2 linked regions of the Struthio camelus genome follow. The protein of the gene in region 2 interacts with the protein of the main gene of each other region in a pairwise test. Links are inferred from orthologs where the notes say so. Each region holds a gene or a part of one and is shown on either strand. Other genes may lie near its edges.

Region 1 (7,343 bases), on a different chromosome or scaffold from region 2:
CCATTCCCCGGGACTGTAAGCAAAGCGCATGAACATACAGATTACCGTACAGTTAGCTGTTTCTCCCAAATGCCCCCACCACGCCTGCTAACTCCACTACGTCTTTTGCCGCTCTGGACCGCAGAGAGATGACTCGGGATGTGCTGCTCTGTGCAAACGTGGCTGCCTGAGGCAGTCCCTCGCATTTCCACCCGAAACACTTGTCAAGGGCTCTTCCCCTGGTGGGACTAATCAGGCTTTCCCTCGGTCCCAGGAAGGCTTACTCGTAGACGCGCCTCCCATGGCGTCATGGTATTCCAAGAAGTATCCGGCGGGGAGCGGTGGGGGAGGGAGGAGAAAGGAAGGGGTGATGGGGCGAGGGGACGAGGAGGTGCGGGGAACTAAACATACGGAGGGGCTGTTCTCACCTGATTAAGTTCCCCTTCACAAGCCGGCTGGGAGTGGGACAGGAGTTCCTCGTCCCTGGGCTTGCCCGCCTCAGCGCAGCTCTGCGGAAGAGGCGGCCTCGGGAGGACGGCTCGCAGGAACTGCAACGCGCTCTTCCCCGAGCCGGTGCTCAAGCACACTTCATAGCCGTAAGCCGCCGACAGAGTGCCCGCGCCGGCCACGTCCGCAAAACTACTGCAGACATCGCCAGCGGCGTAACCGTGCGCAGAGGCAGGTGAACGCCTTCCTCGTAGTCGACCCTTGCAGAGCTTCGCCCCCGAAAAGGCGACGGCGGCGAAGAGGAAGAGAGAGGAGACGGAGCACAAGGAAGCGACGAGGTAGGGGGCTAGCAGGTTCTCCTCGTCGCCGTCGCCGTCGCCGTCGCCGTCGCCGTCGCCCTCCGGTTTGCCCGCAGGAGCGTGGGAAAGCTGCAGGAAGGCGTCGGAAAAGCCCTCCAGCAGGGCGAGGCTGAGGGTGACGGTGGAGGAGCGCGGCGGCTGGCCGCTGTCCCTCACGAGCACGACGAGTCTCTGCCTGGCCGCGTCCCGCTCCGCCACGGCCCGCGCCGTGCGCACCTCGCCGCTGTGCAGCCCCACGCGGAAGAGCCCCGGCTCCGTCGCCTTGGCCAGCTCGTACGACAGCCACGCGTTCTGCCCCGAGTCCGCGTCCACCGCCACCACCTTGGCCACCAGGTACCCCGCCCGCGCCCAGCGCGGCACCAGCTCGCCCGCCGCCGCGCTGCTGTTGGGCAGCGGGTGCAGCACGACGGGCGCGTTGTCGTTCTCGTCCCGCACCTCCACGCGCACCACCGCCTCGGCGCTGAGCGGCGGCGAGCCGCCATCGACGGCGCGCACGACCACCTGCAAGGCGCGCACCTCCTCGTAGTCCAGCGGGCGCAGCGCCCGCACAGCCCCGCTGTCCGCGTCCACCGACACGAAGGAGGCCACAGTTGCGGCGCCAGGCTCGGGCGGCACCAGTGCGTAGCTCACGCGGGCGTTCTTCCCCACATCCGCGTCCATCGCGCTCACGAGGCCCAGGCTCGTCCCCGCGGGCTCGTTCTCGCGCAGCACCATTGTGTAGGAGGCGTGGGTGAAGATGGGCGCGTTGTCGTTCACGTCCGAGAGCCGCACGAGTAGTGTCTGCGCCGCGGAAAGCGCCGGGACCCCCGCGTCACGGGCCCGCACCGTAACATTGTACTCCGCGTGGTGCTCCCGGTCCAGCGCCTCCGCCGTCACTAGTGCGTACGAGTCTGCCAGCGCCAGCGCCACGATGCTGAAAGGTAGGTCGCCCAGCAGCTCGCAGCTCGTCCTGCCGTTGTCCCCCGAGTCCCGGTCCCGCACGCTGTACAGGGCCACCACGGTCTGCGGTGGGGCTGCTTCCGAGAGGGGGCTGGTGAGGGAGGTGATGGTCACCTCGGGGGCATTGTCGTTCACGTCAACGACCTCCACCAGAACTTTGCAGTGCGCGGACAGGCCGCCTCCATCCGTGGCCTGGACATCTATCTCGTAGGTCTTTGTTTCTTCGTAGTCCACTGGGTTTTTGAGTCGAATCTGCCCTGTCTCTGGATTTATTTTAAAAGTCTGGTGATTCTCCTCTGAATTTGGAACGATGGAGTACGCTATTTCCCCGTTCTTTCCTGCGTCTAAATCGCTAGCAGACACCCCCACCACTAAGGTGTCCTCAGCGCTATTTTCAGGCACTCGGACTTTATATAGACTCCTGGTGAATACCGGGATGTTGTCGTTTATATCCAAAACTTGCACGCGGATCAAGGATGTACCAGAACGCGGTGGAGACCCGCCATCCACAGCCGTGAAGCTGAAGGTGACTTCTGCCCGCTCCTCCCTGTCCAGAGCTCGGTGCAGCACCAGCTCGGCGTAGCGCCTGCCGTCACTCCGCCGCAGGGTGGAGATACGGAAATAGTCGTTCGAACTGATGTGGTAGTGCTGGAGACTGTTATTCCCCACATCTGGATCCTGAGCACTTTCCAGCAAAAATCGAGCTCCCGGCATTGCACTTTCCGGGATCTTTAAAATCATCTCCCTATTTAAGAACATGGGAGCATGATCGTTTATATCGCTGACGCTTACCTCGGCTCGGAAGGACTGCAGTGGGCTTTCTAGCAACACCTCGAACCTCACCAGGCAAGGCTCGCTCTGCCCGCACAGCGCCTCTCGATCCATCTTTTCTTGCACAAACAAATCTCCAGTGTGCTGGTTCAGTTGTAAATATTGCTGTTCTCCTTCAGGTACGAGCCGGGCTCGTCGAGCCGATAATTCCTCAGCCGTGAGTCCCAAATCCTTTGCTATATTCGCCACAAAGAAGTCTCTCTCCGCCTCTTCAGGCACAGAGTACCGGATGGTTTCTGCACTCACCCCCGACACACAGAGGAGCAGGATCACAGGCACCGTTCGCCCTGAGAGTGGTTCCTCACTTTTTCTCAGCCCCATTTTCGCCTCCGGAAGCGCTCTCCTCCCCCTGTGAGCTAAGTAGGAGCTATGGATGCGTCTCCGTCGATCTGGCAGGCAGGGATCTGAGCCTGGCGCCCCCCGAGCACAGCAGCCCCAGGAAGGTGCAGCCCCGCGAACCGCCTCGCCAGGCCGAGCTGCGCGGCGGCGGCAGTGGCCGGGAGCTGCGCGGCGCCTCCGCGCCTTCGCGGTCAGCAGCGGCACCACGCGGCCGACGTGCCAAAGGACGGGGATATTTTCCCAGTGCAAAGCCGACAAAACAGACCGCTCGATTCCTCTCTTCAAAGTTCAGAGCGTACAGATTTAACTGCCTACACACATCTCTTAAAAGTCTGGACACTGACTGATTAATATTATAACTTTTAACTCCAAGAGCATCACTTAGGCTATTCAATGAATTTCATCGGGATGAAATAGATCCCCTCCCCAAATAGCCCCCGACCTTTTCCTCTTCTGTTTTTTCCTTTTTTTACTCACACAATAGCTTTTGCGAATCTAAACTTCTGAGTTTAGAAGCAGATTTCTGCCATCCGCAGTAGTGTCAACAGCCGGAAATATTGCAGATGTCCGTGATCCTTGGATGGTGGAATGGAAACGCTGGCGATATCAGAGGTGATGGAAGGGAAGCGGCTGGGAGGCTGTATCAGACAGGTGCTTTCCTTCCTCTTGAAATCATCAGAGACGAGGGCAGTCACCTGGGTAGCCAGCACTAGATCCTGAGTCGTCCCTGAAGGCCATTTAACTAAAAAACTGTGTATTGTTATAGCTGCCCAGCATCCAAAGAGAGCTGGTCCATGAACCATGGCTACATCGTTCCTGATAGTGATTCTGGGGAGGATTTCTGGCATGGATCGAGACCGTTATGCCGATTTACGACTCCTGAGGCTGGGAGCAGTTGTGAAAGGGGCTTCAGAGCGGCATCTCTTGCATCCTGGGTCTCAGGAGAGAACTCGCCTAGCTCAGACAAAGCCTCTGCTTCCTGCTGTGGCTCCTGAGCACAGCCTTCCCCCAGGGTGTTCTGATTTTCCCTGCATAAAATCCACTCCAAAATGCTCCGTTTTGTTCCTGCAATACTGCTCTTGGGGTATTTCCTCGGCAATGGCTGTGACAGGTGACCTCCGAGGCACTTTAGAGAAGGTCGTTAGAGCTCCTTAACTCCTAGCACAGCTCTTTCCTCCCGTATCTAACAGCCGCGGAGCGCCCTCCTGCTGAGCTGAGAACTAGTCGTTAGATATCACTGCACTAACATCATACTCGTGGACTGGAAGCTTCGCTGCAGTGAACAGCAACAAACACAGACTGACACAGAACACTCACCCGAGGGAGATCCAGCAAGTAGGTTTTATTGTTTTTTCGTCATCAGATATTTGACTCTTAAAAACGTGTGAGCAACAGGAAGTATCACGACTTTATATTTCAGTGCCGAGTAATGAAAGCAAAAGAACACAGAAAGCTTCTGGACTCACTGGATTTTACAGTGCCTTATCTTTATTATAAAAGTTTTAACCTATTTTACTGTAAAACCACTAATACTACTTCTAATTCTCTACCACCTTGCACTCAGCTATCCTGAAATGCTCTATAACTGCTCATTTCTATTTTAAATTATGAAAGAAACATCCACTTTTTACAGTACAGCGAATCTATAAACTCTTGCTCTAATAGGCAAAGTGTGCTAAAGTCAGCCAATTCTAATGTGATCAGCTTCTGCTTGTTATTAAAGAGGTCCCTTGCACACGTAACTTCATGTTGTTTAATAAGTATTTGGCGTGGCATTGAGCAGACTGCAGAAAATTAAGATATTATTACAGAACTCTCTTCATAAGGAAAAAAATACAGAAAAGATGATGAAGGAGAAATTACTCTTGAAGATCTGCTTCTGGTTTTCGTATTTCCCATAATGTTCAGAAACAGTAGCACTCTCACAGTCATGCATCAAGACTCGGTGTAATTAACATGCAACACAGTCCTTCTCCATCCATATTACAGCTGCAAAATACCTATGTGAACAAGGTACTACATAAGAGGAGAGTGTTCTTGCTCTCTCGCAGAGACGACTTGTGCCTTTTTGGCTTTTTTTTTTTTTTTTTTGTGCGTGCATATTTTATCTCTTCGTTTTCATTTCTCCATGAGGCCGTTAAACAATGAGGACAGACATGCTTGTCTTCATCTACTGATGGGTGAGCCAAGGGTTTTGATCAGGAATGTCATTTACTCCTATCACCTTGTTAGCAGCGCAACCTGCTTCCGCAGGCCTACGACCTGTGTCTTCAGAGAACGGAGCTCTGCTCTGCAAAGAACAGAATGGAGGGCTGTCAATTGGAGGCTGAGAGTAAGTAGATGTCAGCGAGAAGTGCCCAGGTTTCTGGACCTGCGTTATATCATTGGTACTCTTCTCTACCCAGAGACAAAGGAGGAGGGGGACAGGGGAGCCTCTTTGACCCAAAGGGGGCAAAGCTAAAGCCTAAAGACATCCTCCTCGTTGTGGATATCCCAAGGGCACCACTGAAAACCATTTATGAGTCTGAAGGGGGGACTATATAATGGGAAGATCCTAAAATAAAATAACTTTCATACAAAAAGAAAATGTGTTTTAATGTTGATATCTCGAGGTGGGTCCTCATTTCCCCCCGAAGTCATTGTGACTACAGTTATGTGAGAACCTGAAGTAATGCAGGTGGAAGATTTCCCTGACTCAATGATAATTAAACAGGGAGATGCTGTGGGGTGACCATGAGAAGGCATATGGAGGGGTCTTCATCATCATAGCTGTTTATTGTGTGGACCCTCATGAAATGCTGAGGTAGCTGGATCCCTGGAAACTCTAAAATCTGAGCTAAAAGGGGACATGGTCTCAATGCTAGAATAAGGAGAGACGGAGAAGTCACAGGAGCTGTTTTAACTACCATCTTTAGTCTGTCTTCCCATGCTCTTCAAACAGCCAAGAGGTTAAAGGGAACCTCAGACATGACCCATTTTAGGCTCCTACTTTACATCGCATCTGGAAGACCTTAACTCCCTTCAGCTGCGTAAATGCCACAAACACTGGGCTATGCAGCCCAGAGGGAGAAGGAGTGTCGCAAGCAAGAGAGATCTCATCTGATGTCCATTAACTTCCTCCGTGCCCTTTCAAAGCCCTTTGCTCCCTTGCAGGAGCTATATCTTAGGCCCACTAACAGCTGTTGGCTGATCAGTATTAGCTATGCAGCAGCCATCCATTGGGTTGGATGTGGGGTACTTCATTGCGGATGATGTGGCTATCCTACCGGTAGGAAACCAAATTGTGATAGATTGGCCCGAGGAAATTAATATCCCGTACCAATACCTTCCTCCTTAGAGCAGAACAAAACTGAAATTCTTTTTTACGTAACACAATGGAATTTAATGACCAATGTTATTTAATTTATTCAGGACTTATGCAACATACAAATACTTGAGGACACTATAAGGTAAATGTTGGCTTAAACTGTTTAAACATACTCCCTAAAGTATAAATCTGCATTTTAGTGAACCGTCAGAAAATCCCACTATGAAATCATTTTCAGTATTTACTAGGAGTAAAACAGGTATTTTTCTTAGAGCCACTGAAATCAGCTGCAGGATCCGACCTTTCCTTTCAGGTGGTGGATATTTTTACAGACTGCTTTCTTGCCCCTGCAAGTAGAAGGATGTTTTGGAGATAAAAGAGTGAAGTGTTCACTGTAAAGGATTCGGGCTCCCTGCAGCGGCACGTTACAACCTCCGTTACTATTTTAGTACTCCTGTACACAACACCAGAATCTCCCTCATCTCAGCCCTTACCTTCACAGCACATGCCAAAGCTGGGCGGGGCTGTGTTACTCCTCAACTTCTCTCAGCATTGCTCCCTTCTCTCCCTGGTTCTTCCTCAGTTTCCTCTTCCTCGGCGGCTTGTGGATGCTTTTGGGCTGCATCTCCCCTGTATCTTGCTTCCTGTCCACTGCTTGCCATCATTTCACTTACCCCAACCTCCACTGGAGCACAGGGAAATCCACGGCATTTGTGGGGAGGATATAAGGGCCAGCAGTGGCGAATGGCAGCCCTTGGACCGAAGAAGAGGATGTGTACGGTTGAATGCATGGAATTGAAAGGCATTCACCTAGTAGATTCAAGCTACAGCTTGTAGGTAGAGGAATCAGATAATCAGATACCTCTTTTTTGCTCTTCTGTCTCTCGGACTTCTTTTAATCCGCAAAGAAGTCTCAAGTATACTAGCTGCAGCTTGTTCAAACTTTCCTCAGGAACACCCATCAGATAAAGCAGAGATAAGCTTAGATACCTGACTATTCTTCAGATTATACCGAGACCACAGAGAAGTCTCTAAATGGCAGATGTGTCCAGCAAATTGCTTGGCAGCTCCAATTTGTTTTTCCTTAACTAGCCATTAACTTTTCTTGCTGGATCTGACAGATCAAAGAGACGAGAATAGCA
Region 2 (7,620 bases):
ATTTGACCGTCCTCAGGTTAACACGTTTCCATTAGAAACGTACCACTGAACGATTAGTCTTACAGAAACTGAGCAAGAATTGCTGAGACAAAACCAGAATTTTCTTGGTATAGTTTTTTTTTTATTCATGAAACAGACGGAAGTCCTATTTCCTTGAGAGATAGTAAGAAACAGCTCAAAGACAATATTCTCCTCCAGAAACTCTGCAGATATTTTGGGAGAACCTGGGGGGATCCAGGTCAAGGAAAGTCACAGCTGGGGAGAAGTCAAAGTCCTCACTGGTTAAAATACACACCAAAATAGGAAAAAAAAAAACAACCAAAAATCAAAACCCTGTAGAAACGAAGTTATAGGATGAAAATGAGGGATGCTTGAGGATGCATCAAGCCAAAAGCCCTGCAAGATCCATTTGTCCTCAGAAAAAGGTGGATGCGGGCAAATAACCCAGTGGAGAAAGCGGAGCATGTCATCGCACTTTGGGTGCTCTCCCGGGCTTTGCTGCACTGCAGGGCCAGGGCGCCTTCGGGCGCCAGGGCTGGGGCACGCTGGGGCCACGGCCCAGCTCCTCGTCAGTCAGCCTGAGGAGTGGCATCCTGTGCTTTCTGCGGAAGGAGACCAAATGGGGGCAAAGGACAGAGCAGCACCATGCTCCCGCAGGAGGGGACCCGGCCGGGGAACCCACCTGCCTGCAACTCAGCATCATCCTGGCTTGTGGCAGGAGAACGGGGCAAGACACAACAGCTCTGTGCCCAGAGGCAGCTGGCTTTCTTCTCAGGTCTCACATATCTCGTTATTTTTTGACCTGGAAAGCCCCAGCCAGAAGTCCCCCATCTTCCAGCCAGGCCATGCACTCTGAACAATTTATCTGACCATTAACCTTCATTTGATACAGATAATTTCCACGCTCAAGAGTATCAAAGCAGAGCACTTAACCCTCAAGCATCTTCAGCAGATGCCGGGGGTACAGAAGGCTGCAAGTACTGCTTTTTTACTTTCATCCTGGTTGCCGTGTATCTGTGGCCCCAAACAGCCTGGCTGTGACGCCTAACGAGTGAGGCTTGCTATACTTGCTATGTGCTACTCAAAAAGACATTCAACTCCATGCAAAATTACGCGCTCAGTGTAACCATCATTAGTGAAATTTCAAACTGTGAGTGTATCGGTGTCTGTCTTCTGCCAGTGCGTGATGCCCCTTTAAACAACTTGTCCCTAAAGAAACTACTCAAATCACTCCGCTCTGCTATGTTAGGAAGCCCCCCATGAAAACCCACCGCTCAGCCCAGCTCTGTGTTGCCAGTTAAAGGGTGTGTCAAATAGACATGACAGGTCTCCTTTTCTCTCCTCTGCACACCTTTATCGTAAAAACAAGAGTAGGAGCAGTAAAGCAGAACGGTGCTGATGAAACGAAACAAAGCACAGGGAATTAAAGTGCTTTTCAGAAACAGATTTACTGTAAATCCCGGCCAGCAAGGCACGTATACCCACATTGTACTAAAATGTATGCTGTGATTAGATTGTGTGTGATAAAAGGGTTTTCAGCAAGACAGGGTATTATTTGTCTTACTGCGGATGTATAATTGTTCTAGTGAAGCATCCATTCTAATGGCCTTATTCTTTCTCTTTCATTTTCTTTTTTTAAGAGAATTTTTGTTCTCTGAAGCTTTTTGTTTCTCCATTATGACTTCCCATCCCTCTTTAGAGAAAAAGCTGAATAAGAAAGAGTGAGACCTCGATTCACAATGGCACAGAAAGGCTCAAGAAGGACTTGGGTTCCCAAACACCCCCGTGAATGCAGGCCCTGCTGTCCCTTTGGCCACTTCCAGAACATTAAACCGAGACTTCTGGAGGGCCAGACCCATAGGATAGTGTGCTCAAAGCACCTGAAAAGCTTGCTACCCAGCCACTCGCTAGCATCGCTCTTGACCTGACTGATGACATTTTTACTTCTGCAACTAGAAACCTGCTCCTACAAACCTGTATTTACAGCAGTCCAGTTCAGATTTAAGTTTATTAGCTATCCACTGTAAGACTTTTTGATAGTCTTTGGTGCTTTGGCTTAAGGAAGAAAAGGAAAATTTTTCTATTCCAGCTTTCCTGAGCCCAGGCATTGCTAACGCAGGGAGGGGATACCCCCAGGACTACGCAGCCTCCTCTGCGTACCAGTGCCATCCGTCGCCAGCTGCAGTGAAAGGTTTTTACACGCTGGCCAAGCCGAGATGGTGATGCTGAGCACAGAGGAGGAGAGCTGCGTTGGGCTTGTGCCTCTCTGGCTGGTTGACCACGTGTTATTATTACTCATACCGTGGCAGCTGCGAAGCAGAACAACCGGGAGAAGGTTCTCAGCAACCCTGCCCCAGGCCTGCAGCTCTAGCACTGACGTCTAAGGCCGTGACCATTTGGTCACTGTAGGTTTCACTTTCTTCAGCTGTAAAATTAACATAATTCTCCCCCTCCTTTAAGAGCACTGCAAAGCTTGGCAACCCGTGCGAGCGGCAGGAGCCTTTGACCATAAGCCAGGCACACGGTAACATGTGAGCTGCCCCCAGGGACAGCGTCAGATGAAGCAAGCGCCCAAGAGCTCTGCTTCATCGGAGCTAGAGGCCGGGCCTCCCGCCACCTAACTGCAGCCAAGCCACCGAAATACTTGAGCTAGGAACGCAGACGCTCTCGACTCTTCTGCAGCCAACGGAAAGAGACACACACGCACTCACAGAGCAAACCTACCTGCCTGTTTTTCTGCTCTGACTAGAAAGGAAACTCTGCCTGCCACGCTCCTAGCGGAGGTTACGGGGTTACGCAGGCTTCGCTGGGTGGGACAGACCCAGCACGGAGCTCAGCACTAGCCTGAATCCAACAACTGGCTCTTTGGTTTGGGCTCAAACTGAAAATAATGCAAAAATAACAAATCATTTTGCATTGATCTAAACACATTTTTGCATTCACTATATGCATTTTTTTTATAAACTCCAGCAGCAGCAAAACTATCAGTTTCAAAACAAAGCTGTAAGTTGCAAATAAAATGATGAAATGCTTAGGTTTAGAAAGACATAGATAAAACATTCTTAAAAAGACTTCTTTTTTTAAAACAGATCAACTATTACGACCTGACCTCAAAATGCATTTTCGCAGGGAATTTTTACCCTTGGAAGACAGCTTCACTTCCTTCTCCTCAACACCCTTTGCAAGTGAATCCTCACTTTTCTCCTTCTCCCTCCCTCACGTGATGGTGCTTTTCTCTTGCCTCTCACGGCAATCAAAGCAGTTTCACACCTCTGGCCCAGCAAACGCTTGCTTTCTTTTGCCCTCCTCTGTTTTCGCTTGCTTTCCCCCCGCAGAACCGCTGCCCGTCCCCTGCGCCCTGCGCCGCTGCTCCTCTCCAGACCGCCAGGAAGGGAACACGGCCGTATTCTCCGCTTCCTAGGAGATCGGTTCCAGTAAATTGCTAGTTAAGTGACTACGCGTAACTCCAGCCGCCGACTGCTGAGAGACCTCTCTGAACAGATCTTTGTGCCCAGCTGGAGCTCAGCGAAGGTAAGAGACATCCTCGCCCTAAAGACGCCCGCCCACGCGCCCGGCGCTGCAGTAAGAAGGAAGCGAGACACGGGCATCCCGATGTGTTGTTGGCGTGGAAGTGAATAAAATACTATGAAGATGCACTTCTTCATAGTCAGCTAAGGGGGGAGGTTTTTCCTTCCTTTTTTTCCCTTTCAGTTTTCCTGCCCTATCAAAATTCATGTTAAAATACAGATTCCTTAAAAACTTCTGAGGGGGTGAGCAGACAACTTCTCCTGTAGAGCAGGCGTTCGGAGGAGGGTTTTATGGATGCGTTAGACGTATTACACTATTATCAATTATTTGTGGACATACTGTAATGAATCTGTTAGCCTATTTAGCTAGCTGTTTGAAATACTTCATTGTGGCGCTGCAGTGGGTGTGCTGATGGGGCACGGCCAGGCCAGAGAGCCCTTCACCCGGGGCCTCGCGCTAACTCTTATCCCAATGTCCTTCCCGAGTTTGGGTTTTACTTTTCAGTTTCACATACCCTCTTTATTCATACAGTTATTTACATGAGGAGATGCAAATCAGAGCATTTCCAGATACACCTAGAGGATCTCTACGCACACGTGCACACACCTGTACACTTTGCAATGGCCGTAGCTTAGCTGGAGTCTTGAAAAGCATTTTCAGTTGCAAAATGCAGCTTTGCAGCTCTGTGAGTGTACACACACACTCCTGTGAGTGTGTGTGTATACATATATACGTATATATATACACATATACATGTGCCTCTACCAACCTCAGAAGGTACTGGAGAAATGTGGCACATCCTTTTCTTTTTAATCTTTGTAACACCGCAGAGTTATATCGCAGTTTAATTTCCTCCCCCGTTTATCTGTTTGTATTGTGCTGGTTTCATTTGTGTTTTAATTGCTCCCCCTTCTGCAGTAGCTGCTCAAGTCATATCACTGAATTTTCTTCTTTTCTTTTCTTTTTTTTCTTTTTTTTTTTTTTTCCTGCAAGCAGCTCGCATGCACACACATGGCAAGGAACAAACTGACATCACTTGACATCTCCTTGCTTCCTCATTTCAATATTAACTGCTCACCAGAAGAGAAACGGGTCTGAGGCTAGGGGCTGAGCGTGTGCACGTCTCCCTGTGTGAGCAAGAGCCTTTCTTCCCCTCTGCCCCTTCCCCTCTCCAGGTCATTATACTGAGCTGCCTGAAATTGCCCAATGCTGGTTTTCACCAGTTTGACTGTAGAGAGCCAGGAGCGTGGATGTGTTTCACTTTCTGCTTGGGCCGGGCTACAGCGACAGCTCTGAAGCTGAGTGCCGCCGCTGCTGCTGCTCTCTTCTGAGAACAAACTTCTTGCTGACAGATTCCTTCCGCTCTGCAAATCGATAATAATGACACAGCTGCAGTTTAAAGATGCGTTTTGGGTAAGTGAGCATCTCCTCAGTATTTCCTGTGTTAAATGTATCTATACTTAAAAATAATTTAAAACACAGCTTACTTTTAAATAGAGTTTAAATCTAATTTAATACTTTTCTATATTTTAAATTTAGTTGAGTAAAAAAAACAAATTTGCCTCCATGCAAAAACATACTGTCTGGGTAGTTTAAGCATTCGGTCTTAAACAGAAGGAAGCTTTGTAAAGGATTATGTCTAATTCACACGAACAACTGACATTCCTAATTTCTAAGCTATGTCCAAACATTGTTTTTGGAAAGGACATGGATTTGTCTGTCTCATTGTCCTAAGAGCGCTTGCTTGCAGCGAGTACCCTCAGTTTTTAGGAGCGGCTCCTCCGAGCAGGTGAACTGCTACCCGTTACTATATAAATTCTCTAGCGTTTGCATGTAGAGTTGAGCAGCACCTGCAAAGGCAACCAGCGATATGCAAAACGTTACTGCTCACCCGTGCCTGCTCTTACATGCAAAAGCGTGTGCATGAGGCATTTAGGGTGTGCAGGAGTCCTAGGGCACCATAGGTGGAAAAAACTAGCCGTGAGGTTGAGAATGAAGCCAGAACTCTCAGAACTGGCTTAAAAACGGTGGACACTAAAGCATGCAGATATGCTCGGTTCTTATTTGACTTTCAGTCGAAGCATCTCTGGGTGTCCTGTTTTCGTGCTCTTTCTCTGCGGTTACAAGGGGGGAAAAGCTCTAGTCATTTATCTGGCAAGTATAATCTGAGATTCTCTTGTAGTTGCTTCTGGGGCTGAGGTTTCAAGGGAAAAAACAAAACAAAAAACAAACAAACAAACCCCCCACATGTAGCAAGTTTGGAAATACAGGATGTCCCTTGGTTGCCTCCTGTCTCAACAATCACTTTTCCAACATCAGGGATTGGCATATATATAAAGAGACAAAGGCAGGTGAATTCTTCCTGCCATTTGCCCATCAAGCTAGGTCAAATGGACCCTCCACGGTGCCTGTGCTTTTTGTGCTGTTCTTTCAGCCCACCCTCCCTCCAGGATAAACTCTCTCTTAGTAAAACAGATGGGCAGACCCAAGAACACATTTTGGTAAACCACCTTCCCTCAGACGCTTCCAGGAATCCTCCCTGCCCCCACTATAGTACTAGGTTTGAACAGCTAAAAGTAATGTAATGAGGAAATACCAAAATTAGTTTTCATTTAAAAAAAAAAAATTAATGGGTTCATTGATTTTCATTTTCACCACACCTACGGGAGATTCTCCCCACCTGTTCTTCTGCAAGGTTACCAACCACATAGTGAAAAGCACAGCGCAGGGCATAAAACATAACCCCGTTCTACTACAGAAACTTCAGCTTTTGCATTTCTGAACTTCCTTCCGAATTGTGCAATCTTACTTTAGAACTGATACATTTTGTATATTTACTGTGTTTAGTCATGTTAGCAAGAGTATAATCCCTTCTTGGCTTTGAAGTGCATATTTTCTTTAAAGGAAAGGATCTTTTTTTCTAATATTGTTTGGCTGAAAACATTCTATTGCCAGGCTTGATTAAGAGGGCATGATGTATCCTGTGTGCTATGATAGTCTTAGCTATGCAATAAAAAGCATTTTAAAATGAAAACTTGCAGGATATTGCACAATGAAGCAAAAGAGTACAGCTTTCCCCCCCAAATCGCAAGCTCAGCAATTATTTTTGCATTCACAAGATTCTGTTGTACCCATTAGCAAGACGGAAACATATTTGCTCAGTTTGCTTTGGTGGGCAATTGTTTCCTTTATTCAATTTGTATCATGAATGGAGACCGTCTTCATGATTAAAAAACAAAAAGTACATTTGCATCATAGTAGATCACTCAAAACAGATGCCTGAGCTCCGAGACCTGCCTGAGGACAACGCTGCACCCCTGCCGGGGACTCACCCTGACTAGGTATTCCTAGGCAACAACCCCCTGCTTTTATTTCAGTAGGCTTTTGGATAGGCAGAAGTAGCTCGGGTACCCGACACAATGTAAGATATGTACGTTTTTGCGGTGAACACAAACACTAAAAGCAGCAGATCTTCCCTGGCTAGCAGAGAAATTGCATCATTAATTCTTCCCCAAAGTCTCTCAAACTTTTTTGAGGATAGGGTGGGCTATCTCTCAGGAGAATGTAAGCCGTTGCTTGTAACTGGTATAATTTTTAATTTCTCTTCCCCCCTACTAAATGTAGCAATGATAGGATTGTGCTAGTGGTGTCACGCTTGTGCTATTTTTTGTTTTACTTTATCAAGTCCTGGGCTAAAACTACTATATTTTTTAATGCCGTTTTCTTAGCTTTTACATCCTCCACACACTCAAGTAATGGTTTAAGGGAAGGTTGCTCAAAGCCTCCAGTAAAATGTGTTTCTTCAGCAGAAGTTTCCTGTCCTCTGACAATATTTCTTTTGAAAATTTTAGGGAGATTAAAATAGGAATCAGTTTTGATAGCCAGTGCAGAGCAATTACTAATGGATTAATATTCTGCTGTGCTGCTGTAAAAATGTAACAGATGTTACCTGTCTTCTCTAACATCGTATTAGACAGCTAGGTAAATTTCCGTATTAATGAGGAGCACGTCTGCGATACCAGCTGAGTTTCACGTTAACAGAGTTATGTTACTAGACAGAGATCTGAGTAACGTTCAATTTACTGTTACAAA

Evidence for each region. The genes of interacting proteins can lie anywhere in the genome.
Region 1: the proteins of PSTPIP1 (region 2) and protocadherin beta-16-like interact in binary tests that used the Homo sapiens proteins (3 or more experiments, as listed by UniProt). The two-hybrid records come from large-scale screens. The link is inferred for Struthio camelus from reciprocal best matches to the Homo sapiens genes PSTPIP1 and PCDHB14.

The regions. Positions count from the first base shown.
Region 1 is NC_090954.1:22,385,974-22,393,316, forward strand, and holds protocadherin beta-16-like, read right to left. Parts: upstream 3,013-7,343; 5' UTR 2,877-3,012; coding exon 381-2,876; 3' UTR 27-380; downstream 1-26. Other genes in the region: protocadherin beta-15-like, read right to left, coding at 5,065-5,184. UniProt on the Homo sapiens protein: Potential calcium-dependent cell-adhesion protein. May be involved in the establishment and maintenance of specific neuronal connections in the brain.
Region 2 is NC_090953.1:22,311,084-22,318,703, forward strand, and holds the start of PSTPIP1 (proline-serine-threonine phosphatase-interacting protein 1), read left to right. Parts: upstream 1-4,602; 5' UTR 4,603-4,908; coding exon 4,909-4,941; intron 4,942-7,620. UniProt on the Homo sapiens protein: Involved in regulation of the actin cytoskeleton. May regulate WAS actin-bundling activity. Bridges the interaction between ABL1 and PTPN18 leading to ABL1 dephosphorylation.